Linked DNA regions of Stegostoma tigrinum. The protein of the gene in region 1 purifies or fractionates together with the protein of each later gene. This does not show direct contact. Links are inferred from orthologs where the notes say so. Each region holds a gene or a part of one and is shown in the gene's direction. Other genes may lie near its edges.

Region 1 (7,741 bases):
CCCTAAACCAGCCCAGTTCATCCCCTCCCCCCACTGCACCACACAACCAGCCCAGCTCTTCCCCCCCACCCACTGCATCCCAAAACCAGTCCAACCTGTCTCTGCCTCCCTAACCGGTTCTTCCTCTCACCCATCCCTTCCTCCCACCCCCAGCCGCACCCCCAGCTACCTACTAACCTCATCCCACCTCCTTGACCTGTCCGTCTTCCCTGGACTGACCTATCCCCTCCCTACCTCCCCACCTACACTCTCTCCACCTATCTTCTTTGCTCTCCATCTTCGGTCCGCCTCCCCCTCTCTCCCTATTTATTCCAGTTCCCTCCCCCCATCCCCCTCTCTGATGAAGGGTCTAGGCCCGAAACGTCAGCTTTTGTGCTCCTGAGATGCTGCTTGGCCTGCTGTGTTCATCCAGCCTCACATTTTATTATCTGTTCTGGGGCAAGTGTTTGAATTGATCATTAATGTTATAATTGGACACCTAAGACATTCAGGGAGTCTCAGCATAGTTTTGGGAAAGGGAAATCATGTTTAAGCAATTTTTAGATGTCTTTGGAGTAATGTGCAGCGGATAAAGTGCAGCCTATAGATGTAATGTAGTCAAATTCCCAGAAGTTATTTGATAAGATGCCACAAAGGTTATTACAAAAAACAAGCACAATGAGCTGGTGTGTTTGTGTGCACACAAGCAACATATTTGCTTGGTCGAAAGATGTTCTAAAAACAAAGAAAATGATGTAATTGGGAAGATGTGACAAGTGGACTCCTACAAGTGCCTATGCTGAAGTCTCAATATTTTACAATTCATACCCAAAATTCAGATGAGGACAGCAAAGACCATATTCACAGAAAATTGAGGATAAGCAGGAAAATATGTTGTGAAGACGACATAGTGGGCAAAATCTGGCAGATTGAGAAAAATGAGACACATGAAGTTGTTCACCTTAATAGCAAGAATATTATTTGAACAGCGAACAACGCAGGATCCCACACTGCAGAGGGATTTACGTGTTCTAGTGCATGAGGCACAAAATGTTAGCATGCAAGTACAGTAAACGATACAGGCACATGGTATTTTTTTTTGCAAGAGGAATTGAACATAACAGTAATGATGTTATGTTCAATTATATAGGACATTGGTGAAACCACATCTCAAGTATGTGTGCAGTTTATACCACCTCAGTTAAGGAGGGATGTAAAGATGATTCAGAGTTAGTTCGTTAGACTGACACCTTGAGTGAATAGATGGTCTTATGGATAGGCTAGACAGGCTACATTTGTTTCCATTGGAGTTAAGAAGCACGAGGGATAATTTGATTGCAGTATATAGATTTCCTAACCTTGGTGACTTTCACATGGCTTAAGAACATTCACGCATGAATTGGCTAGAAGGCCTGTAAATAGTCAAACAATGAAGTTGCTTTCTTGCCTAAATGAAAGGCTCACGTTCTTAGGACACCAAGTGTGCTTTTATCATTCTGTGTGATTTTCAACTTTTTGGATGTCATTTCACAGATTTTGAATCAGTCACCTTGATCTCCCTTCCCTTCTGTCAGCCTTCACGGCAGCATGGGAGCAGTCTTTTTTATAACTCTAATGAGCAACAACATCGGCAACAACTGTTGTGCCTTCACTTCAACAGCATGCCACTTCCCAGGATAGAGGAGATGGATGCAAAATTCTACCTCTCAAGAGTCTAGATCCGTCGCACAGGGTTTACTGGCAAAGGATCAATTTTCTCAGTAGACAGCAAATGTGCTTCAGGAGGCTCAGGCTTTTGTGACGGGTCATTGCTGACATCTACAGCCTTCTGGAAACGACCTGCTTCGCAGTAAACTAGGGGGCTACATACTGTCAGTGGAAGTCAAAGTCACTATGTCCCTGGATTTCTATGACCCATGATTCAGAGTTGTCCAACACAGAAAAAGTCTCTTCGGTCCAACTTATCCATGCTGACCGGATATCCTAAATTAAATTTAGTCCCATCTGCTAGTACCATATCCCTCTAAACCCTTCCTATGCATACACCCATCGAGATGACTTTTAAATGCTGTAATTGTACCAGCTTCCACCACTTCCTCTGGCAGCTCATTCCACACATGCACCACCCTGTGTGAAAAAGTTACCCCTTTGGGCCCTTAAAAATCTTTCCTTTCTCACCTTAAATCTATGCCCTCTAGTTTCAGACTCTCCAAGCCTGGGGAAAAGACCTTGGCTATTCACCCTATCCAAGCTCCTCATGATTTTATAAACTTCCACATGGTCACTTCACAACTTCCAACCCTCTGGGGAGAACAGCCCCAACCTACTCAGCCTCCTCCCTATTGTTCAAACCCTCCAATCCCAGCAACATCCTTATAAATATTTTCTGAGACCTTTCAAGTTTCACAACATCCTTCCTTTATCAGCGAGATCAGAATCTCACAATTAGCTGCCCATAAATGCATCTACCAAGTAACCAAAACCAAGCTGGTCAGGACTGCATTTATTTTTATGTTGCTACCAACAAAGCCAATCATAACCAGATGTCTTTTGCTTCTCCATTGGTGCAGGAGTTAGAGATTGCACACATAGCAATTTAGGTAGCCTCAGATCAAGGCAGCAATCTTTTGACGATTTGAAGGTTTTCACTTCAGTGTTCCAAATTTGATGTGTAATTCAGCTCACCGGACAGATCTGGAGGATCTTTCGATCTTCCACTTGTAGCAACAAGGCTGTCTAAAATAGGGAGGGTCCGCTTTGGCTTGCGAAAACATCACACGGCAAAGAGAACTGAAGCTGCAGGAACAGGAAGGTGAAGACAATGGTAAACTAAGTATGCAAACCATTAGTTAGGGCAAGCACATACACTGTTCACTGACTTGCCTGATCCTCCAAACAGGTAGCCATTCTTTCCGTAAAGTTTTGAATATCAATTTAATGGTGCTAATGTTTAAGACCAAAACTTCCAATCTTTCTCCAGGATGCAATATGTCTCTGAAAATGTACATAGAATCTCACATTTTCAGCTGTTGTTCCAGAATAGTTCCCTTTACTATTCACTGCCAAGCCTCAGCATTTGCTTAATGATAATTATCACATGGCCATTTACAGGATTTCATTTTTGCTTTTTAAATATTTATGAGATGCAAATGTCACTGGTAAGGACATTTCTCATCTTTAGAGGGTGTTGGTAACCTTGAATCACTGCATTCTACACAGTGTCAGTACACCAACTGTTAGAGAGGTAGATCCAGTGTTCTGGGCTACTGACAGTGAAGGAATGTCAATATATAGTTCCAAATCAGGAACAGTGAGAGACTTGGAAGACAACTTGCAGATTGTAGTGTGCCCAAAATTCTACTGCCCTTATCCTTCCAGGTGTTATAGTTTAGGGGTTTGGATGTTGCTGGAAACCTGATGTTTTGCACTTTGTACACTGGGCACACAGCTCTCACCATGCACTGGTACTACAGTCAGTAAATATTCAAGGTAGTGAATGGGTTGTCATACAAGCAGACTTGCTTTATCCAGGATGCTGATAAGCTTGTTCAGTATTCAGGGAGGTCACTTACCAGAGAAGAGTTTTACATCACACTCTTCACTTGTTATTTAAGATGGGAGTCAAATTTTGGGAATTGAACTAAATAGCACAGAGTGCCTAACATCTGATCTGCTCTTGTAGCCACAGTATTTAAATGGCTGGTTCAGTTAAGTTTCTGCTCAATAAGTCCCAGAATGTTGACAGGAGGGAAATTCTGTGATTGTAATGCCAGGACTTCACTCCATCCGTTAAGGGTCAAATGCTGACTTGATGGTCCAATTTTGTAAGGGCTCTCTTTACCAGACTTCTATACTGTACCAAAATTCTCTTTAGTACCAATTTTCCAGGGCTCCAATTAGTTAAAACTGGAATGAAAACAAAAATTGTCGGCAAAACTCAGCCGGTCTGGCAGCATCTGTACAGAGAGAGAAAAAAAAAACGAGGTAACGTTTCTAATTCAGGGCCTTGTTTCACTCATTCGATTTATGGCTCACCTGCCCTGTAGAGATCGCGTCTTAGTCTGACGCTCCAGAATGATAGAACCCCTAATGTGAGGAAGCAGGGCATTCGGCCCATCGAGCCCAGTCCGAAGAACACCCCGTCCAGACCACAGCCATGTCCAGTGCAGACTAACGGGAGACATTTAGTCGCGCTCCATACCCAGGAGCGGTCCGCACAACCATGATGAAACAGTTGCCTAAGCTAGGCGCATGGCTGTGGCTGTACCCGAAGAATTACAAAGCATTCTTCTTCATTAGGCTGTAGCTACCAACGAATGCCATCTTACCTGACCTGAAAGGCTGAATTGACAACCACATCCCTCAAATACTCGAACAAACTCTTGCTCTCCGGTCACGTCCAACACATTTTCAAAAACAACAGCTACAGGGAAAGCGCACGCTGGCTGAGCCTCCACCAATCGCCAGCCTCGATGGATGAGAAGGCCGGAGGCTTATTTCGTAAAAACGAATCCGATTGGGCGAAGGGCAGACCCCGATGGGGGCGACGGCTGTCCGCCCTCGGAGGGCCAACCGCGTGGGGCCGGAGACTTCGCGGTGGGAGGGGGAGGGAGAAGAGAGGGGGAAGGCTCGTTGAATAGACCAATGGGGCAGAGTCATGGAGGCGGGGCCGAGCGAGGAGCCAATGGAGGAGCGGCGCGAGCCGGACACCGCCAAGATCGGTTGAGGATGAAAACAGTTGTGAGCGACTGTAGGCAGCTTCATTTTGGCCGGAGCGGCGCGTCGGTTGGTGGGGAGGGAGACGGGGCGGCAGTGCGTTTGAAAGCCTATCTTATCCTACCCTAGGACCATCTAAACACCCTAAACTGCTATCCTCCTCCTCTTTTACCCACCCTGCGCACTAGTTGCGATTAAAAAAAAACTGACAGAAACAAAAAAAACTAAACCCTTCCCGCCTCTCAGAGAATAATGACAATGTAATTCCAGTGGATTGGAGCTGAGTTTTATATTAATTTTTGAATCTATTCCCCTGATGTGTCTGGTGCTGGCCGAGAAGCGGCGATTTGCTTCATTTCTCTCACTCACCCCTATCCCCCGCCATCCCCTTCTTTATTTGGTAATCGCTGTTATATTTATTTTAAATTTCTCTTCTTCACATTACTCCCCTTTCACCCCCCCTGGAAAGAGGAAAAAAATTGAGAAAGCGCCGCCTGTGGAGTCGACAGATTGATATGTGTTGAAAAGGTATCATTGCTTCACCTCGGTCTTTTTTTTTCTTAAGAAAATAGGGAAAGGAATATGTGATCGGCTTAATTTTAGCCTCAAACTAAGCTTTTCTCAAGTTTCTTGTCTAGATTTTGTCTCGGTGATGTTCCTGGAAATGAGTTAAAATGACTGAAGTGTTTTTGTTGTTGCTGCTTCGTTTTCTCTTTGACACGAATTAAGGAAGGAGAGGCCTGGTGGTGTGGGGAGGGAGAATTGTATTTTTTTTAAGCTGTAATCTTGCAGCACTGCTATGAGTCCCATCTGCTGTTGCTTTGGCTTCAGGTTGTTTACAGTAAGAGAGCCCCTGGCTTCAAGGCCTATAGGCTCCTGATGAGGAGGGGAGGGGAGAGTGCCGAGGTTGGAGGTGTCCCAAGTTGAAGTGGAGTGGGTATAGGGGGAATTGCAAAAACGGCCCGAATTGTTTAAACGTATGAATTTTGCTAGGCTTTCAATTTTAAAAGAAAATTTGAATCGCCTCCCAATATAACACCAGAGTATGTAAGACATCAGCACGAAAGACAAAAGCAATTGCAAGCTAATTTATCTAAAACTTTTTTTCGTCCAAACTTCTTGACGTTGTAAATGTGCATAGTTTTTATATCTGTATGTATAATCTTGAAGGAACTACACCTTTTGAGCATATATATTGATGAAAGGGATAAGCTCTCTCAAGGTTTGTTTCGAGCATGCTTTCAAAGTAAAAAGTGTAATCTTTAAATGCTTGATTTTCTGATCGTTAACAGGACGGTGAATATAGAGTATGGAAGGCACTGATCTTTAGAACGGGATTTGAAAAATAGCGATTATTAAATGTATTTGTATTTCATATTCGTGTATCTGGTGGATAGGCCATGAGGCCTGGCGGGGCCTTTTTGCTAACTGATCTGCAGGAAACCGGTTGTGTTAACGTCCTGTCTTAATGTATTCTGATACCGTTTTAGGATTTGACCTTAGTTTGCAAAAGTAATAATGTTGATCAGGTTTTGGTGTAGGTTTTAAACTAAAGTAAACTGCAGATTGTTTGATCAGATTTTACACAATTTGCCTAGTTGCTTCTGGAGGACTAGGCCCCAACAATCTGTTTCAGTAATTTACAAATTAAGTTTTGCTTGTATGCAATTACCAAGTTTCTTTGATTTTTTTTCATTGCCTAAAGTATTTTCATTTGTAATGTTTTCAAATATTTGAACAAACGTTTAAAATGACCTAAAAGCTGCAGAATATAATAGGCAATTGACTGAATAAATAAAGATAATAGCAGTATTTCTGCTATGTAATGTAACTTTAAAAGTGACAAGCCAAATAATCGTTGAAGTTCTGAAAAGTTAAATGAAGGCATAAGTTAATTAGCTGTTATATTTTGGAACTTGTGCATTAAAGAAGTTTACTCAAAAAATTATTCAATTTCACTCTTTTACATTTAGGTGCCGTCACATTGGAATCCTGCATGTTTAATTTTGGCAACTGAAGTATCCAAAATTCAGCAATAAAAGTACCATTAACATGGCCAAAGATGTAAGTCTTTTATTTTTGCCAAAAATAAAGCCTTAATTGTGAAATTATATGCAACATTACTCTGTAACATTAGCTAGCATTTTTGTATTAATCCAAAGATGCCCTTGGCCTTATTTGCTTTTAAGGAATAGAAGACGGTTTGCACTTTTATAGTATATCTCATATTGCAAGTTGTTAGGAATCCACTAAAATACTGTGTCCAATTATGTGCATTTATATCAGCGAACATGGTAGCCAAGATCTACAAACATCATGAGTTGAACAACTGCTCGGTCATATTGCATGTTGTGTATGTGGATTATTGAACAGCATAAAAAGAAGGCTCCTTCAAGTGGTGTCATTGTGTTTCAGCTGTTCTTCAGGTACACACGTCTGGATCCGTCAACTGGCAGAAGTCATGGAATCTTCTTGCCCACTTGAGTGGATAAATGGGTTAATGTCCCATCAAAAAAACAGAAATTCTGCAATGTGGTGCAACTGTCTTTACAATACGTTGAAAGATATACCCACACTACATCAGGCATATCTTACTCTAGCTTAAGTGCAGCATTCTTACACTTTCAACATCAAAACACATTGTAAGGTTTAATCCTCAGTTTACTTCTTGCTCCTGTGATCATAAGCCTTTAGACTTGTTTTTTGATACACTCTACTCTGTAATTCTTGCTGTTCTTACAATCAGTATATTTCCCTGTATATGGCCCTTCACCATCTTTTAGCCATTTAAGACGGACAATTCTACATCATTATGCACAAACCATTTGCTGTATTGTTGCATCAGAAATTATAACTAATTTAACAACAGAGATTTTTGAGTATTTTGGCCAACAAATATCAGCAGTTTGATTTTATTATCCTCCCAAAAAGAGGGTGTGAGTGACGATAAATATCTTCTCTATCCCCACAGGAGAAAAGTCCAACTAGTTTATTAGCTAGCTGCTGATTATGTACTTCAATTAATTGTTCTTAGAAATGTTCTTAC
Region 2 (7,357 bases), on another chromosome or scaffold:
TTGCTGCAAATCAAGCGGCTGCTTTGTCCTGGATGGTGTGGAGCTCCTTGGTTGTTGTTGGAGCTGTATCTATCCAGGCAAATGGGGAGCATTCCATCACACATAGTCCATCCTTTGACGTAGCCTTCTCCCTCTGAACAGGCAAATGATCAGCAGTCTAGGACTGAAGGGCAACCAAAAGCCCCCTTCAGGCCATACTCTTATCAGGAAAGTCAAAGGCCTAATGTCATTGACGAGTAATCCTGGATTGGGCTGATATTCTGGGGGTGTGAGAGTATGGCCCACCAAGGCAGTTGGTGATGTTTAAATTTGAAGTTATTAAAGTCATTAAACACTCAACTCAGTAATGGTGGTCACAGAGCTTTAAATTATCACATAAAAATCTGGTTCATTGAGAAGGAAGATTAATCTGCTGTCTTTATCTCATCAACCTATGTATGGTTCCAGGACCTCAGATATGTCATGGACATCTCCTCTGGAGTGATCGAGCAAGCCTCTGAGTTTGTAGGTTATTAAGAAAGGGCAACAAATGCTGATCTTGTGTGAAACACTCACACCCCATAAACGATTAAAATAGAACCCCACCATTTCCCACACAATTAAATTAAAGGAAGATGGTCGTAGTTGTTGGAGGGCAATCTTTTCCAACTCCAGGATGTCTCTGCAGGAGTTCCTCAGGGTGGTGTCCTAGGCCCAATCACCTCCAGCTGCTTCATCGATGACTTTCCCTCCATTGCAAAGTCAGAAGTGGGATGTTTGCCGATGATTGCATGACGTTCGGCACCATTCACGAGTTCTCAGAGACTGAAGCAATCCACATCCAAGTGTGGCATGATGTCAACAAGATCTAGGTTTGAGTTGTTAAAAGGCAAGCGAGGTCTGTGTCACACAAGTGTAAGGCAATGACCATTTTCAACAAGAGAGACTCCAACTATCTCCCTTTGACATTCAACACCACTGTCAACGTCCTTCGGGTTACCATTGACTTTTAACTGAACCGAAACAGGCATAAAAATTACCGTAACTCCCGCACATCCCAGATGTCCAAGTTTTTCGAGGACTGCAACTTTCCCCTCACAGTGGTCGAGAACGTCCTTGACAGTGTCTCCGGCAACACATCCTCACACCCCGCCCCCGCCACAACCGCCCAAAGAGGATCCCCCTCGTTCTCACATACCACCCTACCAACCTCCGGATACAACGCATCATCCTCCGCCATCTACAATCCGACCCCACCACCCGAGACATTTTTCCATCCCCACCCTTGTGTGCTTTCCAGAGAGACCACTCTCTCCATGACTCCCTTGTTCGCTCCACACTGCCCTCCAACCCCAGCACACCCGGCACCTTCCCCTGCAACTGCAGGAAATGCTACACTTGCCCCCACACCTCCTCCCTCACCCCTATCCCAGGCCCCAAGATGACTTTTCATATTAAGCAGAGGTTCACCTGCACATCTGCCAATGTGGTATACTGTATCCATTGTACCCGGTGTGGCTTCCACTACATTGGGGAAACCAAGCAGAGGCTTGGGGACCGCTTTGCAGAACACCTCCGCTCGGTTCTCAATAAACAACTGCCCTCCCAATCGCGAACCATTTCAACTCCCCCTCCCATTCTTTAGATGATGTGTCCATCATGGGCCTCCTGCAGTGCCACAATAATGCCACCTGAAGGTTGCAGGAATAGCAACTCATATTCCGCTTGGGAACCCTGCAGCCCAATGGAATCAATGTGGACTTCACCAGTTTCAAAATCTCCCCTTCCCCCACCGCATCCCAAAACCAGCCCAGCTCTTCCCCTCCACCCACTGCATCCCAAAACCAGTCCAACCTGTCTCTGCCTGCCTAACCTGTTCTTCCTCTCACCCATCCCATCCTCCCAACCCAAGCCGCACCTCCATCTCCTACCTACTAACCTCATCCCACCTCCTTGACCTGTCCGTCCTCCTTGGACTGACCTATCCCCTCCCTACCTCCCCACCTATACTCTCCTCTCCACCTATCTTCTTTTCTCTCCATCTTCAGTCCGCCTCCCCCTCTCTCCCTATTTATTCCAGAACCCTCACCCCATCCCCCTCTCTGATGATGGGTCTAGGCCCGAAACGTCAGCTTTTGTGCTCCTGAGATGCTGCTTGGCCTGCTGTGTTCATCCAGCTTCACACTTTATTATCTTGGATTCTCCAGCATCTGCAGTTCCCATTATCACTGTAACTATAAGAGCCAACCAAGGACAGGGAATCATGCAGTGAGTGACTCCCCAAAGTCTGCCCACCATCTGCAAGGGATAAGTTAGCAATGTTATGGAATGCTGTCCGCTTGGCTTCCAACTGGACAAGAACTTATGAATTAGGTGCAGGAGCAGGCCATTCAGCCCCTCGAGCCTGAATGTGATTTGCTAAGATTTATGGCTGATCTGACTGTGACCGCAATTCCACTTTTCTCCCTGCCCCTGACAAAGTCTGACTGCCAGGTTGTTTATAGTCCTCTGTCTGAAATGTATTCAGCAATCGGGCAACCATGAAACTCAACAACATCAAGGATAAAGGAGCCTACTTGATTGGCACCCTAGCCACCACCTTCAGCAATCATTCCTTTCACCACTGAAACTCAGTGGCAGCAGTGTGTGCCATCTACAAGATGCACTGCAGCAACTTGCCCTTTACTAGGGTGGCCAACTCTCAGGAAAGGGATAGAGGACACATTCACATCAGGGAACAATATGCCTGGAGTTGGGGTTTGTTGGAGGTGTTGGGGGGGTTGGGTGGTGTAAGTTGCTGATGTTGAGGGTTGGTAAGGGAAGGGCAGTTGTAGGGGATGGTGCTGAGTTAGTAAGTGCTGATGTGTAATCAGACATGTTGGGTGGGCTCTTGCAGACTGTCCTTACAAGCCAAGCCAACTCTTATGCCTTGGATTTGTGTCGTCATCCTGGACACCTGCTGAACACAAATTAGCAGCTTTTTAGAGGTCAACCATCTCAGCCAAAATAAATCACTGCAGGGCCCTTGACTTGGATTGATACCACTGTTCCTTGTTGCTAGGTCAAATTTCTGCAATTCTGTACATAATTTGGCTGATATTGGGCTTCAACTTCACTCTCCAATCCACACCCCAGAGACCTTGTTCTGTATTGTGGGTGTATCTGCATCACCTGGACTGCAGAAAGCGACTCACCACCACCTTCTCAAGGGTATATACCACATTGTCTGTACCTTGGGTAGCAAACAGTATCCATAACTGTAGTCATGGTGTTAACATCAAAGCTGAAGTGTTGCTGATGTAACAACAGTTACAGCCTCTGATGCATGTACAGATTTTCCTGTGAGTAAAGAACTCTTGCATGAAAAATACATGGATCCGTGCAGTGTATTATGGGATACTTATAGACATCCCCTAACCCTGACTACACAATAAACTACTGTGAATAATTAATTAAAGAAGAAAGTTATACAGGTCCACTTTCTGCAAATAAATTATGTACTGAGGAAAACTCAACATTGAGTCTAGTCCTGCTTGCTTTTAATCAGTAGGTGCTGCATATCATTCAAAATTATTAAGTTAGATGTTCAGAAGAGACCATTCAGCCTGTTGAGCCTTTTTCAGCATTCATTACAATCATGGCTGATATTGGGCTTCAACTTCACTCTCCAATCCATGCCCCAGAGACCTTGTTCCCTGAGACACCAAAAACTGTTATCCCAGCCTTAAATACATTCAACAATAGTTTCTGCATCCATCTGAGTAGGGAATTCAAAGATTGATAACCGTTCAGTGAATTAATTTCTCTTCATCTCAGTCCTAAATGATTGGCCCCTTAACCTGAGACTGTGCTTCTGTATTTTATTACTTCCAAGACCAGTGTAGACAATCTCAGACTCAACTCAATCGAGCCCTTACAGAATCTTAATCATTTCAATGTGAACTCTGAATGTGTGATTATTCAAATCTTTTTGGCATGAAATTTGCATTGCCATGTATTTTTATGTTGGCTTACTCAAAACACTTGATACTTTAGTTTACAGTGGAAAATGGTTAATTCAAAGCATTGGATAATTGAGTCTGTAGTAGAAAATGGCTATTTCAAAACATTGAATAATTTAGCTTGGAGCAGAAAATGGCTATTTCAGGACATTGGATAATTTAGTTTGGAGTAGAAAAACATTGGATAATTTAATTTGCGGTGGAAAACCTACACTGCCTGCAATTATCTGTGAGGGTTAAAAATTGTCCATTCATGCTGATGGACTACATCTCCCAGAGTGCTCGGTAGCGCCTACCCTGCTATTGTTCTTTCCATTGGTTGACGGGGGTTGCGGCCCCCTCCAATGAGCGAGCACGTTAAAGGAAATGATCCGGCCTGAAATGGCGGCGTTGTGTACCTGAATTCGAACATCAAGTTGCACAAAGAGGAGGAACAAGATTGTGAGTCTTTTGTGTTTTTGTTTGAAAGAAAGTGTGCTGAATTAATTATAAATAAGACAGTTTGTGCAATTTATGAGGTGAGCTTTAGGATGAGTAATGACTAAAAGTCCAGCTGCTTCAGACAAATGAAGCTGTTTTTGAAGTCGATGATACCTCAACCACAAATTGTAGAAACTAGGGTTTGTGTGTTTTTAATGTTTTCCCTTCTTGCCAATTTGTTTCCAGTTAGTAAAATTTGCAAGTAAACAGAGAGACATTGTTGCTAAGGCTGTGATATCCACGTGAGTGATAATCTTGGAGTTTTTTTAAAATGTTGCTAAAAGTCTGTGCTGTCAGGGTTCGATCTACAGGTTCAAGACAAAGCATCCGTCTCGTTACAATGTTATCAGATGCTGCACTGTTTAGTAATCTTAGGTCTGCAGTCCCTGGCGTTTGTTTTCAATGAGTAACAGTGAACTATGATTGCAACACATTGTCTAATTTACCCTGAAACCAATGCAGAAATTGCTGTATAACCCTTCTGAAAAAGGGTTACTGGATTCAGAACTTTGCTGCCTGCTTTCTGCCCCTATGTTGCCAACCCTGTTGAGTTTCTCTGTTTTTTTTTGTTTCAGAATTCCAACATCTGTAGTTTTTTTTTAATAGAATCCCTTCAGTGTGGAAGCAGGCAGTTTGGCTCATCAAGTCCACACTGACCCTCCAAAGAACTTGCTACCTGGACTGACATTCCCAACCCTATGCCTGTAGGTCTGCATATTCCATGGGTAATTTTTAGTATAGTTAATTTGCCTAACCTGCACTACTTTGGACTGTAGGAGGAAACAGGAGCACCCAGAGGAAATCCAAGCAGACATGGAGAGAATGTCCAAACTCCACCCAGTTGCCCAAGGATGGAATTGAACTCTGGTTTCTGGTGCTGTGAGGCAGCAATGCTAGCCATGGTGCTGCCCCCAATGTCAGCTTCCAATTTCTCTCCCACAGAGGCTGCCATGTACGGTCCTTGAGTTGTACAGCATGGAAACAGACCATAAGACATAGGAGTTGAAGTAAGGCCATTTGGCCCATCGAGTCCACTCCGCCATTTAATCATGGCTGATGGACATTTTAACTCCACTTCCCTGCACTCTCTCTGTGGCCCTTAATTCCTTGCAAGATCAAGAATTTATCAGTTTCTGTCTTGAAGATGTTTAACATCCCGGCTTCCACTGCGCTCTGTGGCAATGAATTCCATAGGCCCAGCACTCTGGCTGAAGAAATGTCTCCTCATTTCCGTTCTAAATTTACCCCCTCTAATTCTAAGGCTGTGCCTGCGGGTCTTAGTCTCCCTGCCTAATGGAAACAACTTCCCAGCATCCACTCTTTCTAAGCCATGCATTATCTTGTAAGATTCTATTAGATCTCTTCTCAACCTTCTCAACTGTAATGAATACAATCCCAGGATCCTTAGCCGTTCATCATACGTTAAACCTACCATTCCAGGGATTATCCGTGTGAATCTCCACTGGACACACTGCAGCGCCATTATGTCCTTCCTGAAGTGTGGGGCCCAAAATTGGACATGTTATTCTAAATGGGGCCTAACTAGGGCTTTATAAAGTTTCAGAAGCGCATCGCTGCTTTTATATTCCAACCCTGTTGAGATAAGTGACAACATTACATTCGCTTTCTTAATCACAGACTCTACCTGCAAGTTAACCTTTAGAGAATCCTGGACTAACACTCCCAGATCCCTTTGTACTTCAGCTTTATGAATGTTCTCACCATTTAGAAAATAGTCCATGCCTGTATTCTTTTTTCCAAAGTGCAGGACCTCACATTTGCTCACGTTGAATTTCATCAGCCATTTCCTGGACCACACTCAAACACAATGGGCCCTCACCTTACTCAGCAGCCTCCTGTGAGGCACCTGGTCAAAGGCTTTTTGAAAGTCTAGATAGATAACATCCACTGGGTTTCCCTGGTCTAACCTACTTGTTACCTCTTCAAAGAATTCTAACAGGTTTGTCAGGCACGACCTCCCCTTACTGAATCCATGTTGACTTGTTCTAATCTGACCCGGCACTTCCAAGAATTTAGAAATCTCATCCTTAATGACGGATTCTAGAATTTTACCAACGACTGACGTGAGGCTAATTGGCCTACAATTTTCTATCTTTTGCCTTGATCCTTTCTTTAACAAGGGGGTTACAATGATTTTCCAATGACTCCAGTGACTTTTGAAAGATCATAACCAAAGCCTCCGCTATTTTCTCAGCCACCTCCCTCAGACTCTAGGATGTAGCCCATCAGAGCCAAGAGATTTATCAATTTTTAGACCTTTTAGCTTTTCTAGCACTCTCTCTTTTGTAATGCCTACCATACTCAACTCTGCCCCCCCGACTCTCCTTAATTGTTGGCACACTACTCGTGTCTTTCACTGTGAATACTGACACAAAGTACTTAAGTTCTTCAGCTATTTCCTTATCTCCCATCACTAGCCTTCCAGCATCAGTCTGGAGCGGCCCAATGTCTACTTTTGCTTCTTGTTTGTTTCTTATGTATTGAAAGAAACTTTTACTATCATTTCTAATATTACTGGCTAGCCTACCTTCATATTTGATCCTCTCCTTCTTTATTGCTCTCTTTGTTATCCTCTGTTTGTTTTTGTAGCCTTCCCAATCTTCTGATTTCCCAGTGCTCTTGGCCACTTTATAGGCTGTCTCTTTTACTTTGATACATTTCCTGACTTCCTTTTGTCAGCCATGACTGTCTAATCCTACCCCAGATAATCTTTCTTTTCTTTGGGGTGAACCTCTGTACTGTGTCCTCAATTACACCCAGAAACTCATGCCATTGTTGCGCTACTGTCTTCCCTGCTAGGCTCTGCTTCCAGTCGATTTTTGTCAATTCTTCTCTCATGCCCCTGTAATTACCTTTATTTAACTGTAATACCATTA
Region 3 (7,078 bases), on another chromosome or scaffold:
TCTGCCTTCCGGAGAGACCACTCTCTCCGCGAATCCCTTGTCTGCTCCACACTGCCCTCCAACCCCACCACACCCGGCACCTTCCTCTGCAACCGCAAGAAGTGCTACACTTGCCCCCACTCCTCCTCCCTCACCCCTATCCCAGGCCCCAAGATGACCTTCCATATTAAGTAGATGTTCACCTGCACATCTGCCAATGTGGTATATTGTATCCATTGTACCCGGTGTGGCTTCCTCTACATTGGGGAAACCAAGTGGAGTCTTGAGGACTGCTTTGCAGAACACCTCCGCTCGGTTCGCAACAAACAACTGCACCTCCCAGTCGCGAACCATTTTAACTCCCCCTCCCATTCCTCAGACGACATGTCCATCATGGGCCTCCTGCAGTGCCACAATGACGCCACCCGAAAGTTGCAAGAACAGCAACTCATATTCCGCTTGGGAACCCTGCAGTCCAACGGTATCAATGTGGACTTCACAAGCTTCAAAATTTCCCCTTCCCCCACTGCATCACAAAAGCAGCCCAGCTCGTCCCCTTCGCCCACTGCATCACAAAACCAGCCCAGCCTGTCTCCACTTCCCTAACCTGTTCTTCCTCTCACCCATCCCTTCCCTCCCACCTCATGCCGCACCTCCATTTCCTACTTACCACCTCATCCCGCCTCCTTGACCTGTCCGTCTTCCCTGGACTGACCTATCCCCTCCCTACCTCCTCACCACATATCTTCTTTTCTCTCCATCTTCAGTCCGCCTCCCCCCTCTCCCTAATTATTCCAGTTCCCTCTCCCCGTCCCCCTCTCTGATGAAGGGTCTAGGCCTGAAACGTCAGCTTTTGTGCTCCTGAGATGCTGCTTGGCTTGCTGTGTTCATCCAGCTCCACACTTTGTTATCTTTGATGAACTGCACACCATTCAAATGGCCAACAAACATATAACCCATCTTGGTCCTGTTCTTTAACTCTTAAACGGACAACTCACACAGTTCCAAAGATCACTCCAAAACGCTCCTTAAAATGTCACAGTATTAGCATTATTGCTCCCAATTATTCAGAAAGTTCACGCCTTCTACATCAAGCTACATCACACATCAAGTCCCAAAGCCTTAAAGAAGCAGAACGAAATGGATATATTCTCTCCCTGTGGGACAACCTGTGGAGATTGATCCTGAGAGTTTCTAAGGCATGTTCGAGCGATTCGACAAAGACTTGAAGTGAGGGATGTGTGATTTCTGAAGAAGGGTCTAGGCCCGAAGCGTCAGCCTTCCTATTCCTCTGATGCTACTCGGCCTGCTGTGTTCATCCAGCTCTACACCTTAGAACATAGAAAAGTACAGCACAGTACAGGCCCTTTAGCCCACAATGTTGTGGCGTGGAATATTCCTAATCCAAAACTAAAATAGCCTAACCTACATTCCCCTCAATTCACTGCTGTCCATGTGCATGTCCAGCAGTTGCTTAAATGTCACTAATGACTCCGCTTCCAAGACTACCACTGGTAAACTATTCCATGCGCTCACAACTCTCTGGGTGAAGAACCTCCCTCTGACGTCTCCTCTATACCTTCCTCCTAACACCTTAAAACTATGACCCCTCATGGCAGTCAATCCTGCCCTGGGGAAAAGTCTCTGGCTATCGACTCTATCCATGCCTCTCATTACCTTGTACACCTCGATCAGGTCACCTCTCTTCCTCCTTCTCTCCAGAGAGAAAAGTCTGAGCTCAGTCAACCTCTCCTCGTAAGACAAGACCTCCAGTCCAGGCAGCATCCTGGCAAACCTCCTTTGCACCCTCTCCAAAGCCTCCACATCCTTCCTATAATAGGGCGACCAGAACTGGACACAATATTCCAAATGTGGTCTCACCAGGGTTTTGGAGCTGGCAGCTCTTAAACTCGATCCCCCTGTTAATGAAAGCCAAAACACCATATGCTTTCTGAACAACCTTATCCACCTGGGTGGCAACTTTGAGGGAGCTATGCACTTGAACACCAAGATCCCACTGTTCCTCCACACTGCTGAGAATCGTGCCTTTAATTCTATATTCAGCATTTAAGTTCGACCTTCCAAAATGCATCACCTCACATTTATCCAGGTTGAACTCCATCTGCCATTTCTCAGCACAGCTCTGCATTCTGTCAATGTCGCGCTGAAGCCTGCAATAGCCCTCGATACTACTAACGGCACCTCCAACCTTTGTGTCATCAGCAAACATACTAACCCACCTCTCAACCTCCTCATCCAAGTCATTTATAAAAACTACAAAGAGCAGAGGCCCAAGAACAGAGCCCTGTGGGACACCACTCAGCACTGATCTCCTGGCAGAATATTTACCATCTACAACCACTCTCTGCCTCCTGTCAGCCAACCAATTCTGAATCCAGACAGCCAAATCACCCTGTATCCCAGACCTCCTGACTTTATGAATGAGCCTGCTGTGGGGAACCTTACCAAATGCCTTGCTGAAGTCCATGCACACCACATCCACTGCTCGACCCTCGTCAACCTGTCTCATGACTTTCTCCAAGAACTCAAGATTTGTAAGGCATGGCCTGCCCCTCACAAAGCCATGCTGACTCCCTTTAATCACGCTATGCTTTTCCAATAGTCATAAATCCTATCCCTCAGAGTTCTTTCCAAAACCTTGCTGACCACAGACGTAAGACTGACTGGTCTATAATTTCCAGGGATTTCCCTATTCCCTTTCTTGAAAAGAGGAACAACATTTGCCTCCCTCCAATCTTCCGGTACGACTCCCGTGGAGAGTGAGGAAGCAAAGATCTTCGCCAGCAGCTTAGCAACCTCCTTTCTCCCTTCCCGGAGCAACCTAGGATAAATCTGGTCTGGCCCTGGGGACTTATCAATCTTAGTGTTTGCCAAAATTTCCAGCACATCAACTTCCTGTTGTACCAGGAAATGTACCACAATTTACTTTATACTCTTCCTTTCTGTTTTTCACACCAAAGTGTATACTTTGTGTATACATTTAGCCACATTGTAATGCATTTGGCAGTGTTTTGATCACTTAACTTGTTTAAACTTGTTTAACTTGAAGCCTTTTTGCATCTTCTTCACAAATCTTACCAAGCTTTGTGATGTCAGCAAACTTAAAAACATTGTACCTGGCCCTGGGTATTTATGTATATTGCAAATAGCTGACGGTTAAGCACTGATCTTTGTGATAACCTTCTAGCCACTGTCATCTATTTGAGAAAAGACCCATTTACCCTCATTCTATTTCCTGTCTGTCTACCAATCTGGAATCCATGCCAATATATTGACCCATAGCATGTGTTTTAACTTAGCCCACTAACCTCTTATGAGGATCCTTATTAAGTTGTTATCTCAGATTCTCCAGTATCTGCAGTTCCTACTATCTCTGGTGAGGGAGTTGGTCATCAAAGAGCTGGTAACATTGTGACTCAACGAGATAACCTGTAAACTTTAGATATTCTAACATCGTCTCATACGAATTGTTTGTGAAATAAAGTTGTAGATGCAAAGGAATTTGGACATCCACACAATATCGCTTTGTGTGGGTGCTTTCATCTTCACTCTGAGTCCGAAGAAAATTGTTTTGCCCGTTGCCAAGTCAAACATCCTACTCTCTCCACGTACTTTCCCCACTGCCATGTTGCCCTCCTCCTTTCGGCCGCTATAACTCTCAGGAAGAGTCGGCCGGGAAACAGGGAGGGGTGAGGGGAACTACAATTCCCGTCGTGCCCCGCGTCCAAGGGTGGTCGGACGACTTCCGGCCATCTCTCCCATCCAGCTAAGTGGGGAGCTGGATGAACACAGCAGGCCAAGCAGCATCTCAGGAGCTTTTGTGCTCCTGAGATGCTGCTTGGCCTGCTGTGTTCATCCAGCTCCACACTTTGTTATCTTGGATTCTCCAGCATCTGCAGTTCCCATTACCTCTTCCATCCAGCTGACGGGTGGAACTCAGTCGGTGGTGGGGCCGGGGATTATGGGAAAGGTAGTCCAGGCGCCCAGAGCGGATAGTGGACGCCAATTGTGAAAGGTACTACATCCCCCAGCGGCACCAGCCCAGCCGCCCATGCGCAGTGGGGGCGAGGTTGATGTAGGGGAGCCGTGGCCTGTCGGGCGGAGCTGCTCCCGGAGTCACGAGTGATTTTTGCTGTTGGTTTCTCCCTTCACAGTTGTGTGTTTTGTTTTTGTTTTGTGTACGTTCTGACATTAATTTACTATTTCTGTGAAAGTTTAATTTCCGTTTTTGCGATCTCTTTTTTTTTGGGTTTATTTTTAAATTAAAAAAAAGCATGAGCGATAACGATGACATCGAGGTCGAAAGCGACGTAAGTCTCGCCTGGTGCCTTCTATTATTGTTATTTTTGTTTCGAAATTTTGCTTGATTTTTCAGTTTCGTTTGTGTTTCGAAAATAATAATAAAACGTTTTTAACGTGTTGGGAGTTGTTTCCACCTGATTGTGAAAAAAAAATAATTTTTCCCCTTTTTTCTCTGTAGTTACGGATTTTCCCCCTTTTCTCTCTCTCTCTCTCTTTCTGTCGATTTTTTTTGTAAAGCGCCAACTCTCCGGCTGTGTGATCATTTTGTGCACTTGTCTGTTTTTCAGGAAGAACAGCCGAGGTTTCAGACAGCGGTACGTAACGGAGGATTAACATAGACCCCGTCTCGTCGCCTTGATTTTTCTTTAAAAAAAAATAAATCTTATTTATATACTTAAATAATCTTTAAACTTATTTTACCATCCCCTAAACGTAATTTACTTCGTGTAATCAAAGAAAAAACAAATCAAATTAATCTTAAAAGCCTGGATTATTATTTTTAACCTGATAGTTGCTGGGGATGTGGCTTCAAGCTGCTGTCCCAGTATCCTCCCTCTTTTATTTGGATTACCTTTTCAGAATATTATTGCAACCTTTATTTTTAAAGTAAGATGTCCCGAAACTTAACTTTACTGCTGATGTTTGTATATTTTAAAAAAATCGATTCCCGCCCGTCGCCTGAGTCTGGTCAAATGGCCAGCTCAAGGCGTTTAGAGCTTGAGTGATAGATAGTGTCTAGGTTAGAGACATTACAAAAGGCCCAGTAGCCCAGTCGTGCAGAATGCCCTTTAATGTGGTTCCTTAACCCTCGCTGTCTTAGGAATTCTTCTCCTCCATCTCTTGCTTGCCGATTTTCTATCTTCGTTTCACTTTTGGAGATTTTCATTCCTTCCCCTTTCCCTGTGCAATGTTTTCAAAAACAATTCATTTTGCCCACAAGCCTCAGCGCGTCCTATTTACATCCATTCCACTCTTGTACTGAAGCCAAACAAATAGATTCGCTCGAAATCGCTGGCATCTTATCTTTTTTGTTCCAGTATGTTTTTTTTATCCCTCTTCTTTTCCCCTGATTCACCCAATCTTCGCGTTTCGCGTGAAAGTGTGTCCGATCCATCGGAAACCTGCACTAATGGGAGCATTTAACACATTCGTCGTGAGCTGTTTTTCTCCCTCCCTTCCTCTTTTGTAGATGTGTAAACGTGTTTGATACAGCGGCTTCGGACGACCGGCTGCTGAAAGCAATTCTTATTCGTCGTTTTCGAGAAACTTTTTTTTCCCCTCTCTCCGCCTATTAATAACAAAATGTAAATAGTTAAGATACTTGTACGGGTTTTTTTTGGTTGTATGCATAACACAAAATGGACTCCAGGAAGTGTGTGTGTAATCATTGATCAGGTAGAATGATGCCTTTAAAAAGCCAACTGAACACTTAGTTATGTGCCATATTTAAATATTTTAAAAAAATTGAAAGTATAAGTTTTTAGGATCCCGTGAGAAATTTTACTTTTCTTGTGATGAGCAGCCAGGATGCCAAATACTCCACTGGTGGGCTGAAACCCTAATATTTGGTTGACATTCAGATCCTTAGGCCCAGACATTTTTGTTTATTGTCCATTACAGGGCACCTAGAATGTATTGCCTCAATAGGTGACACTTAGATTCCTCTATTTGTCTCCTGTGAAGTAAGCACAGAGCAACAATGGCCCTGAAAGTTGTGGAGGAATCTGTGACCTATTTGACTGACCTCCAACATTTAGTGTTGAGGTGAGACTTTTTAAACAGAATGATGACACAAATATTACCAATTATTACCTTGACCACAATTGAGTTACCTTCTTAATTGAAACCAACATTCAGTAAAGAAAAAAATAGGCACATAGTTCTTGACCTGTGGAAGATAAATGAGGATGAGCCTTACAGATGTTATGAATAACATCACTGAGAATAGAATGATTATTAGGGACTAAATGTATTTAGCAACTTGTTTTTGTGCTTGTAGACTTCCTAGCTGTGCAGGTTTTGGAGGGAAGCACTGCAGGGGCACTAAATCTAATGTATGTGTGTTGCTGTTGGACTGTAAATTAATTGCAGGTGCTCCTCTCACTTTTTTTACATTTGAAATTCAGTAAAATTGCTTTTTTTAATGCAAATCCCAGATGTGTTTATTGGGTAAATTCCTAACTGTTTATTAAGTTCCAATACTTTGAACAAAATCTATCAGAAAAATGCAGTTAACCAGTTTTCCAGTTTGTGGGAGTTTCAGTTGCAACACAGTTTTGTTTGCAAGCCAGATAATTATCTGTTATTTCAGCAAGAAATCTGCAAGCATTGATTGTTGCCCAAAATTTGCAAAAAAAAAAGAGTATTTGGTTTGCCAATGCTTTCTCACAATTGCACTATTCCTAACTGGTCAGGCTAATACATGGCAATAGTCACCTGTGGCTCCAAGCTTTAACTTCCTGTGTAATATGGTAGTTTGGTAAGAAATTAAACTATGGAAATTTTTTGTATAGAATTTGCTCCAATTTTTCGGCACTGTTTTTGAGGTGTTATTCAGTGTGCCTCACCTGATAATGTTAGAGCTGACATTACAAGCAGATGTGCAAAGTTGCCTCAAGATGATTGCGACTGTTTTTTTATCTTGTGGAATGCGGTATATGTCCTTTTCACTAATTATCTAATTTGGTGAGGCACATTCAGGAGTTTGAAGGAAGGAATGTGAAGTCAGACTTGTACTTGGTTATCTGCGGTTATTTTTCCTAAATGATGTGTGTAC
Region 4 (7,452 bases), on another chromosome or scaffold:
TTTATTCTGCAGTGGAGTTAGGGTTGTGTGGGATGGCAGGAAAGTGGATTTAAGGCCACGATCCATTCAGCCATCATTTTATTGAACGGTGATGAGAGCTTGAGGGCTGAATGGCTCACTATTGCTCCATTTTCTTATGATCTTATGTCTATCAGCTGTTGAAGGCACTCAAAAAATAATCTAATTTAAATATAAAAGGTTTTGTCACAAATGCAGTTGGCAACATTTTTTAGTGGATCATTAAACTTGTTATTATCCGTCTATGTTTCCAGAGGCTTGGTAAAAAGATAAAAAAATTATGTTACCAGGACAACACTGCTCCCACTAGGGAGGATTTGCGTTTGTTCAAAAAATTGTCAAAGTACTTTAATTAGTCACTTTGTTATGTAGTTATTAATCTTATGCAGCCACTTTTGCAGACAGCAAGATTCCAAACAATAACGAAATGAACGATGCTTTAGTTTTTTTTAATGTAGAACTTTACCATGTAGATGCAGACCATGCAACCAACCTATGCCAATGTTTAGACTCCACATGAGATTCTACCTCATCCATTATCCATGTGTTGTTATACAGCTTTCTCCCTTATCTAGTTCCACTTTAATGCATCAGGGCAGTTTGTCACAATTACTTCACCTGGTACTCCATATTCTCTCAGAGTAAAGTAGTTACTCCCGAATTCCAGAGGGCAGGTAGCAGTCAACCACATTGCTGTGGGTCTGGAGTCACATAGAGTCCAGACTAGGTAAGGATGGCAGTTTCCTTCCCTAAAGGAAGGACATTAGAGAGCCTGATGGGTTTTTTTTTTCCTGGCAATCAACAATGTTTCATGGTTATCATTAGACTCTTAATTCTAGATTTTTGTTGAATTCAAATTCCGCCATCAACAATGGCGAGATTCAAGTCTAGCTCCCCAAAATATTGCTTCGGTCTCTGAATTAACAGTCTAGCATTAATACCACCTCCCCATATAGGATGCATACATTTATAATTATCCCACCAAACCCTACTTCTAATTTTAAAGACTTCTATCAGGTCAATCTTCAGCTGTCTGCTTACTCTGGTAAAATAAGCCCAACTTTTTCTTGTAATTATGTGAACAGAGTTCTTAAGTCAGCCTTGGAAATAATTTTTCCGCATTCTCTGGTGACTTCAGAGCCTTTTCATAATACCGGTACACACTCCCAAATTTAGCAACCTTGGGACTCAATCTGTGCCAGTCTTTGGAACATGGCAGTCTTCAGAGAGATGATAAACTGGAATTCACTAGTTCAGATTGGAACACTTTAATATGGTAAGTACAGCCTGAAGGGAAACCAACTGATATGACTGCCAAGCACTAAGTTAATATCATGTGCCTGGTGATATTAATTCACCTCTCATGCATCGGATTTAATATCTCTTTCATGCTTTCCCGCTTCGCTATGTCAGTACAACTGGTTAAATTGAGAAAAAAAATCAATTTTAAAAAAAGCCTGCACTTCAGAAAATGCTGGTTTTGGGGTAGCTAGATTTGGAGTGTTTACCTATAAAGGTCAGAACTATGCACAGTACTCCAACAGAGGTCTAATCTAAGTTGTACACAAGTTTAAAATAACACAATATCTTTCCAATCAATTCTATCCCTCTAGAAATTAATCTCAGTGCTCTGGCCTCATTAACCTGCATTGTTATTTTTAGTGATGTGTGCATCTATATCCCTAGAGCTCCTTGCTCCTCTCATTTTGACTCTAATTTTACCCGTTTATTAATGTTCACTACCTCACACTTACCTATACTTAAACAAATCAGTTCTCTTCTGACCTGCTTCATTCACCCTGTATTCCCACCACAGGCAGATGGATGAACTAAGCGCATGGTTTTGGAAATGGCTGTAATCTCAGGAAACTCCACCTCACAACAATTTCTTCACCAAGCCATGTGCAGATTCTGTTCTGCCAGTATGATGTGTGACATACTGATGGAGGAAGTATTTCTCTGCTCCCTAGTTACTTAAAAAAGTTCAGCGTTTTTTTTAATGATTCTGGGCAAAGTGATTCACTTCCTTTGGTACTCATCTCTTCATTAGAGACAAATGAATTGCACTTAGACTGCACTTACCGAGTGGAGTGAAACTGGAAAAAATTTGTGGCTGGGGACGGGTAGCAGGTGTCGAGAAATAGATATTTTTACAACCATTTCTGCAATGTTTGAGTGACAGTGACCTCTGAGACCTCACGCTGTAATGGATGGGCAAAAGTAAGTTTCCTCATGCTTCCAAACAGTTAAAACATGATTGTTAACATTACTCTGATTATTATGAAGTTAGTTTTGAGGTCCAGTTTCCTTTCCATTTTCCCTGCTTTCTCTCTCTCTCACACTTAGTTTGCCACTCTCTCTGTCTCTCCTGTTCTCTCGAGTCCTTTTGTTCATCTGTTTCTACTCACTTATTCCTCTCCTCTTTGTTCATGGTTTCCTCCCAATGTGAAAAGGTGTTTTCTTTCTTCAGTTTCCAACACCAAGGCACAATTGCAGTTTGTTCCTACATCAACAGCCTTCTATTGCTTGAACTCTTCCTGAATCCGACAAAGACTTGGGTTGGGGTTCCCCCTGGGACACCGCTGATCTCGGCTGCAATGGCTTTGGGAAAGTTACAATTGGCCACAATTCCTCTGGGTTAAGGCAAAGGTAAATCAGCCAGCTCCCTGTCGCTGCTCATTATCCAAACACCATGTCATTGAAAGTGCTTTTGTGTGTTGACACTGCATGCTGAAAGGGTGCAAGATTAGCAATAGCAGTTTGCATTTTTTTGAAAAAAATGACCTTGCATTCATATAGCGCCTTTCCCAACCTCAGGACACCATGCAATATCTAATGGCCAAATTTTCGATAAAATAGAATCACATCAGTTTGAGGAGGTAGCTCGCCACTACCTTTTTCAGGGCAATTAACAATGGACAATGAATGTTGGCCTAGCCAGCGGTGCCCACATCACAGGGTCGAATAAAGAAGAATGCAGTAGCCAACCTGTGCATAACAAGATCCCACAATGTGGTCAAAACCAGATATTCTACATTATAATGATGTTTGTTGAGGATGGAGTACTGATCAGGACCCTGGGATGATCTCCCCTGTTCCTCCTTAAGACAATGATGAACAGTCCTTGACAGGAAAGAGGCTGAATCAATTGAACATTGCATTCAAAAGGAAGCACCTTGAACAGTGCAGGACTCCTACAGTTCCCCAGTGGGAATAATGGTCTGGATTACACACTCAAGTCTCCAGATGAGTTTTTAACTCTCAGTCTTGTGTGGTTAGATAACTCACTGCTGTGTCACTTAAACAGCAAACTGCATTTTGGGAGTGGATCATAGAATCCGACAATCACACAGCACAGAAACGGCTTTCGGTCCAACTTGCCATGCTGAACACATATCCTAAATTAAGCCAGTCCCAAATGCTAGCATTGTGCTCATATCCCTCTAAACCTTTCCTATTCACATACCCATCCAGATGCCTTTCAAATGTTGGAATTGTACCAGCCTCCATCACTTCCTCTCACAGCACATTCCTCCCACAGTCATTCATGCATCACCCTCTGCACGAACAAGTTGCCCCTTGGGTCCATTTTAAATCTTTCCCTCTCACCTTAAACCTATGTCCTCTCATTTCGGGCTCCCCTACCCTGGGGAAAAAAGGTCCTTGGCCAGTCACCCTATCCATGCCCCTCATTATTTTATAAACCTCCATAAGGTCATTCCCTCAGCCTCCGCCCCTTCAGGGAAAATAGCCCTGCCTATTCAACCTCTCCCTATAACTGAAACCTTCCAAGCCTCGCAACATCCTTATAACTCTTATCTTCACCCTTTCAAGTTTAACAACATCTTTCTTATAGCAGGGAGACCAGAATTTGAATGTAGTATTCCAAAAGTGCCCCAACAATACCCTTTACAACTGCAACATGACTTCCCAACTCCTATACTCAATGCTCTGATCCAATAAAGACAGGTGTAACAACGGTCTTCTGCACGACCAGGCAGAGAAAGAGAACATCATGCCAAATAATGTAGGTGGCAATGCAGCTTAATAAAGGCAATGTAATGCAAGGAAAAGAAATATAAATTGTTTTCATGAAACCATCATTAATTGTGTCTTTACACAGACTCACTCTCTCACGGCTGCGAAGTATTAAAACAGTCAGGATGCTGTGCAAGCCTCAGCTGGAGTCAGGCTTTTTAAAAAGTCTGTGCTACTCCTGTCGCTTTAAGAAACCAGTTTGAGCGCTGTGATTGGCTACCGTTGCATGTATCCTGGTCAGTTAACCACCAATCAGCGACGGGTATTTGCAACAGATGGCGGGAAATATGAATTTCGCGGCACAGGCTTTGGCGCCAGAGGCTGAGTTTCAGAGTCTGTGAATTAGGCTGCATTCAGGAGCTAGTACAGTTTCTGCAGCCATTTTTCCCCTCTGAATCAGAGGGGACCTTTTACAATCCATTGCATCCTGCTGCATCCAAAGCAACGTTAGCTGTGAGACCCCGTGCAGTTTAATCTCGGGACTCTGCTAATCATTTATATGCCTGCATTTGTTGACTCTGTCTTTTATTTTGTGTTCAAATCCCGGTTTGAAGTTAACCATTTTGTTTTGCCCCTCTCTCTCTCTCTCGTTGCAAACAAAAGGGGGAGAGTGGGGGAAAGATTGCAGCCTTGCCAAAAATGCCAAAGGGAGTTTCCCCAGCCCCAGGCAGGGGAATTATTGGGGCAGTGACTGGTTCCCAGAAAAAGCTAATCAATGTGGAAAATGGGAATACCGGGCTATGTAGCCCCCAGATCCCCACCATCCCTGCCAGTTATTTCACCCAAATTGCAGGAGCAGTATATTCTGATCACAGTGATTGCCTGTATGCAACCCCTCAAGGACCTGAAGTTAGAACAATAAGGACTAGCACAGGGCGCCTGCCGGTAAGTGTAATTTTATAATTTATACATTCATTTTGAAATAATCGCGCGTTTATACTTGGTGTATTTTGCTCAGTTCCTGCAGTTATCAGGACACTGCATTAATAATCATTCAGGGAAATTTACTTAGCTCTTAGTAACATGTTTTACAAAAATGCAGCATTGATAAATTAACCCTACTTTTGTGTATGCGTTTGTGGGATGGGGGTGGGGGTGGGGGGCATGTGGAGTGTGAAGACAGGTTTCGCTTTTTGCTGTGTAACTGGATCTATTGTGATAGAGAAAATGCTCAGATGGCTGTTTACTGTAACTCTAGGCTGCCTTAATTTTTTCATTTATTTCAGGACGATTTAAAAGTTTCTCAAGCCTCCCGATTTATCATCAAAACACGTTGACAATTTTCTTAGGTGATCAAACTGTCACTGAAATTTTGCTGGGCTTGCCTTGGGTTGGCTCTAAAGTTGAGGACATTCTCAATATAATATCTTTTCAATCAAGAGGTGTCAACTTTTTGGAGGGTGCTTCCTTGTATGAAATTCAAATGAAAATGAAAGTAACCAGCCTTTGGCACTTTATTGGCACCAAGCCTTTAACCTCAATATTTTTACTGGAGGGTGGGGAAGGATGTTTAATGCCAATTCTATAGTGTAGGCAGCTTGGGGTTCAAAGGTAAAAATGGAACTGACAGTAGAATCCCCAGCAGAAAAATGTAAAAAATGAAAATGTAATGATTTCAAACTGCAGGGAAATGTTGCTGCTGAACTTTCTTTTTGACCCTCTTCTTTGTGGGAATAGGGCTGTTTCAATTTTTAAATATTGATCTTCTGTGGCTTAATACTTAGATCTAATCTTGTCTCTGTATAGCACCCACCCCTCCCCTCTTGAATTTATTCAAAAGCCCCACTCGGCATCTTTTGAGAATGAGGCAATATTAACGCAAGACAATGCTCACCTGTGGCACCTTGTTTATTACTGACCTCATCGAAGTTTCTTCTCATGGACCAGGGAGCTTGTAAAGCACAGATGATGTTACAGTACCCAAAAACACAGTTTTTAAATACTTACTTTGGTCGTGGCCTACTTTTTTGTGGGGGATGGGGAAGGAGTTTCTTATTGACTGAACTGTTTTTCCGAGGACGGACTCTAGTAGCAGAAGTTTAGTTTTCCAGTATGCAGGGGAATTAATTTACAAGGTGTATTTGTCATCTCTTGCATGCTGTATAAACATTGCTCTTTTGATTCATTGCTCTTGCTCCTTTTGGGCTGGAGTTCTTGTTCAGCTGCTCGCTCCATTGCCTCTGACAGAGAGAGCAGGGAATGCCATTTAGTCCTCTGATTCTTATCTTTGCCCCAAATATTTATTTATACACCAAAGATATCAACAATTGGGAGTCTTTGAGGACACGCTGGAGCTTTCAGAAAGCTAGGCAGGGGTATTTAATTGGAGGCAAAAATTCAGTTTCTTGATAGGTTAAGGTTTTGCAATCAATTTCTGAGGAACTTTCAGATGGGTAAGGTTTCCTAATCCTCATTGAGCACCATTTCTGTACTCATTAGCATGTCATGTTTGTTGTTAACCCACTGGAATTGCATTAATAGGCCCAATCCCATTATCCAAAATGGCAAGATCATGTACTTGCAGATATTCTTGTGTATTCACAGAAAAGCACACAAGCCAGTGCCAGCCAGCGTAGACTGTGCCCTCCGTACTCTGGACAGTATGTATAAACTTCACCAACTTGATTCCCTTTTAATCAAGCTGTTACTTTGCTCAAATGTTTAACGGGTGAAGCCTGACCTGCTCATTCAACTCACTATAAGTCTGCCATATGCAATCTGCCACCTTTTTGTAGTTAAACACTTGAGAAGGGTGAAGCATCTCCATGTTCAGTGGCTCAAGAGAAGTCTTGGCCTTGTGCAGTCTGTTAAGTGTTAACAAGTCAATGTTAGGGTTGAACACTGGACCATCCATCAAGCCTGCCCACACATGGCAGCCAGATTGCCTGATGCCAGCAAACCTGATTGGGGCGGTCAAATGAAGCTTGACTCCCTGGGGCCAGCTTTTGTGCTTGTACCCTTGTTCCATACAAGCCATTGCTGAAAACAATCAGATGTGCATGTTATCAAGTTGTGATGGAAGGTCAGTGAGCTGATGGTGTGTGAGCTGCTGAGTGTTGTAACTCCTTCACTATTTTGCATATGAACCCTCCCAGTTGTGTGGGAGCCAGTAGTACTACGGTATGCAATGCTGCCTTGGTAGCTGGCATTAAGTGACAGACATTGATGGCCCGTGAGGCATCCAGTGGAGTTGCTTGGTTGCCAACCCTCGTATTGCTATCCTCTGTAGAGGCAACCTTACGGTGCTAACTCTCACTCAGAGGGATGTCAAGTGGTACGTACTGAGGTAGAAGGCAGAAGTTATTTAGTCTTCTGGCACTGGAGCTGGGTTCTCTTGAGCTGCCCATAGGCACTGTCTTCATAGCTACCTCCTTCCAAGCTTCCTTTAATCAGTTG

Evidence for each region.
Region 2: the proteins of transcription factor Dp-1-like (region 1) and lethal(3)malignant brain tumor-like protein 2 purify together in Homo sapiens (affinity purification with mass spectrometry; 4 studies listed by BioGRID and IntAct, counting the BioPlex papers as one, with this or other methods). This does not show direct contact. The link is inferred for Stegostoma tigrinum from reciprocal best matches to the Homo sapiens genes TFDP1 and L3MBTL2.
Region 3: the proteins of transcription factor Dp-1-like (region 1) and max purify together in Homo sapiens (affinity purification with mass spectrometry; 5 studies listed by BioGRID and IntAct, with this or other methods). This does not show direct contact. The link is inferred for Stegostoma tigrinum from reciprocal best matches to the Homo sapiens genes TFDP1 and MAX.
Region 4: the proteins of transcription factor Dp-1-like (region 1) and e2f2 purify together in Homo sapiens (affinity purification with mass spectrometry; 3 studies listed by BioGRID and IntAct, with this or other methods). This does not show direct contact. The link is inferred for Stegostoma tigrinum from reciprocal best matches to the Homo sapiens genes TFDP1 and E2F2.

What each region holds. Positions count from the first base shown.
Region 1 is NC_081368.1:16,482,148-16,489,888, reverse strand, and holds the start of transcription factor Dp-1-like, read left to right. Parts: upstream 1-4,733; 5' UTR 4,734-5,223; intron 5,224-5,897; exon of another isoform or gene 5,898-5,917; intron 5,918-6,668; 5' UTR 6,669-6,747; coding exon 6,748-6,759; intron 6,760-7,741. UniProt on the Homo sapiens protein: Can stimulate E2F-dependent transcription.
Region 2 is NC_081391.1:5,934,440-5,941,796, reverse strand, and holds the start of lethal(3)malignant brain tumor-like protein 2, read left to right. Parts: upstream 1-4,336; 5' UTR 4,337-4,421; intron 4,422-7,357. UniProt on the Homo sapiens protein: Putative Polycomb group (PcG) protein. PcG proteins maintain the transcriptionally repressive state of genes, probably via a modification of chromatin, rendering it heritably changed in its expressibility.
Region 3 is NC_081363.1:71,192,878-71,199,955, forward strand, and holds the start of max (protein max), read left to right. Parts: upstream 1-4,066; 5' UTR 4,067-4,274; coding exon 4,275-4,310; intron 4,311-4,589; coding exon 4,590-4,616; intron 4,617-7,078. UniProt on the Homo sapiens protein: Transcription regulator. Forms a sequence-specific DNA-binding protein complex with MYC or MAD which recognizes the core sequence 5'-CAC[GA]TG-3'. The MYC:MAX complex is a transcriptional activator, whereas the MAD:MAX complex is a repressor.
Region 4 is NC_081377.1:29,050,794-29,058,245, reverse strand, and holds the start of e2f2 (transcription factor E2F2), read left to right. Parts: upstream 1-4,407; 5' UTR 4,408-4,695; coding exon 4,696-4,941; intron 4,942-7,452. UniProt on the Homo sapiens protein: Transcription activator that binds DNA cooperatively with DP proteins through the E2 recognition site, 5'-TTTC[CG]CGC-3' found in the promoter region of a number of genes whose products are involved in cell cycle regulation or in DNA replication.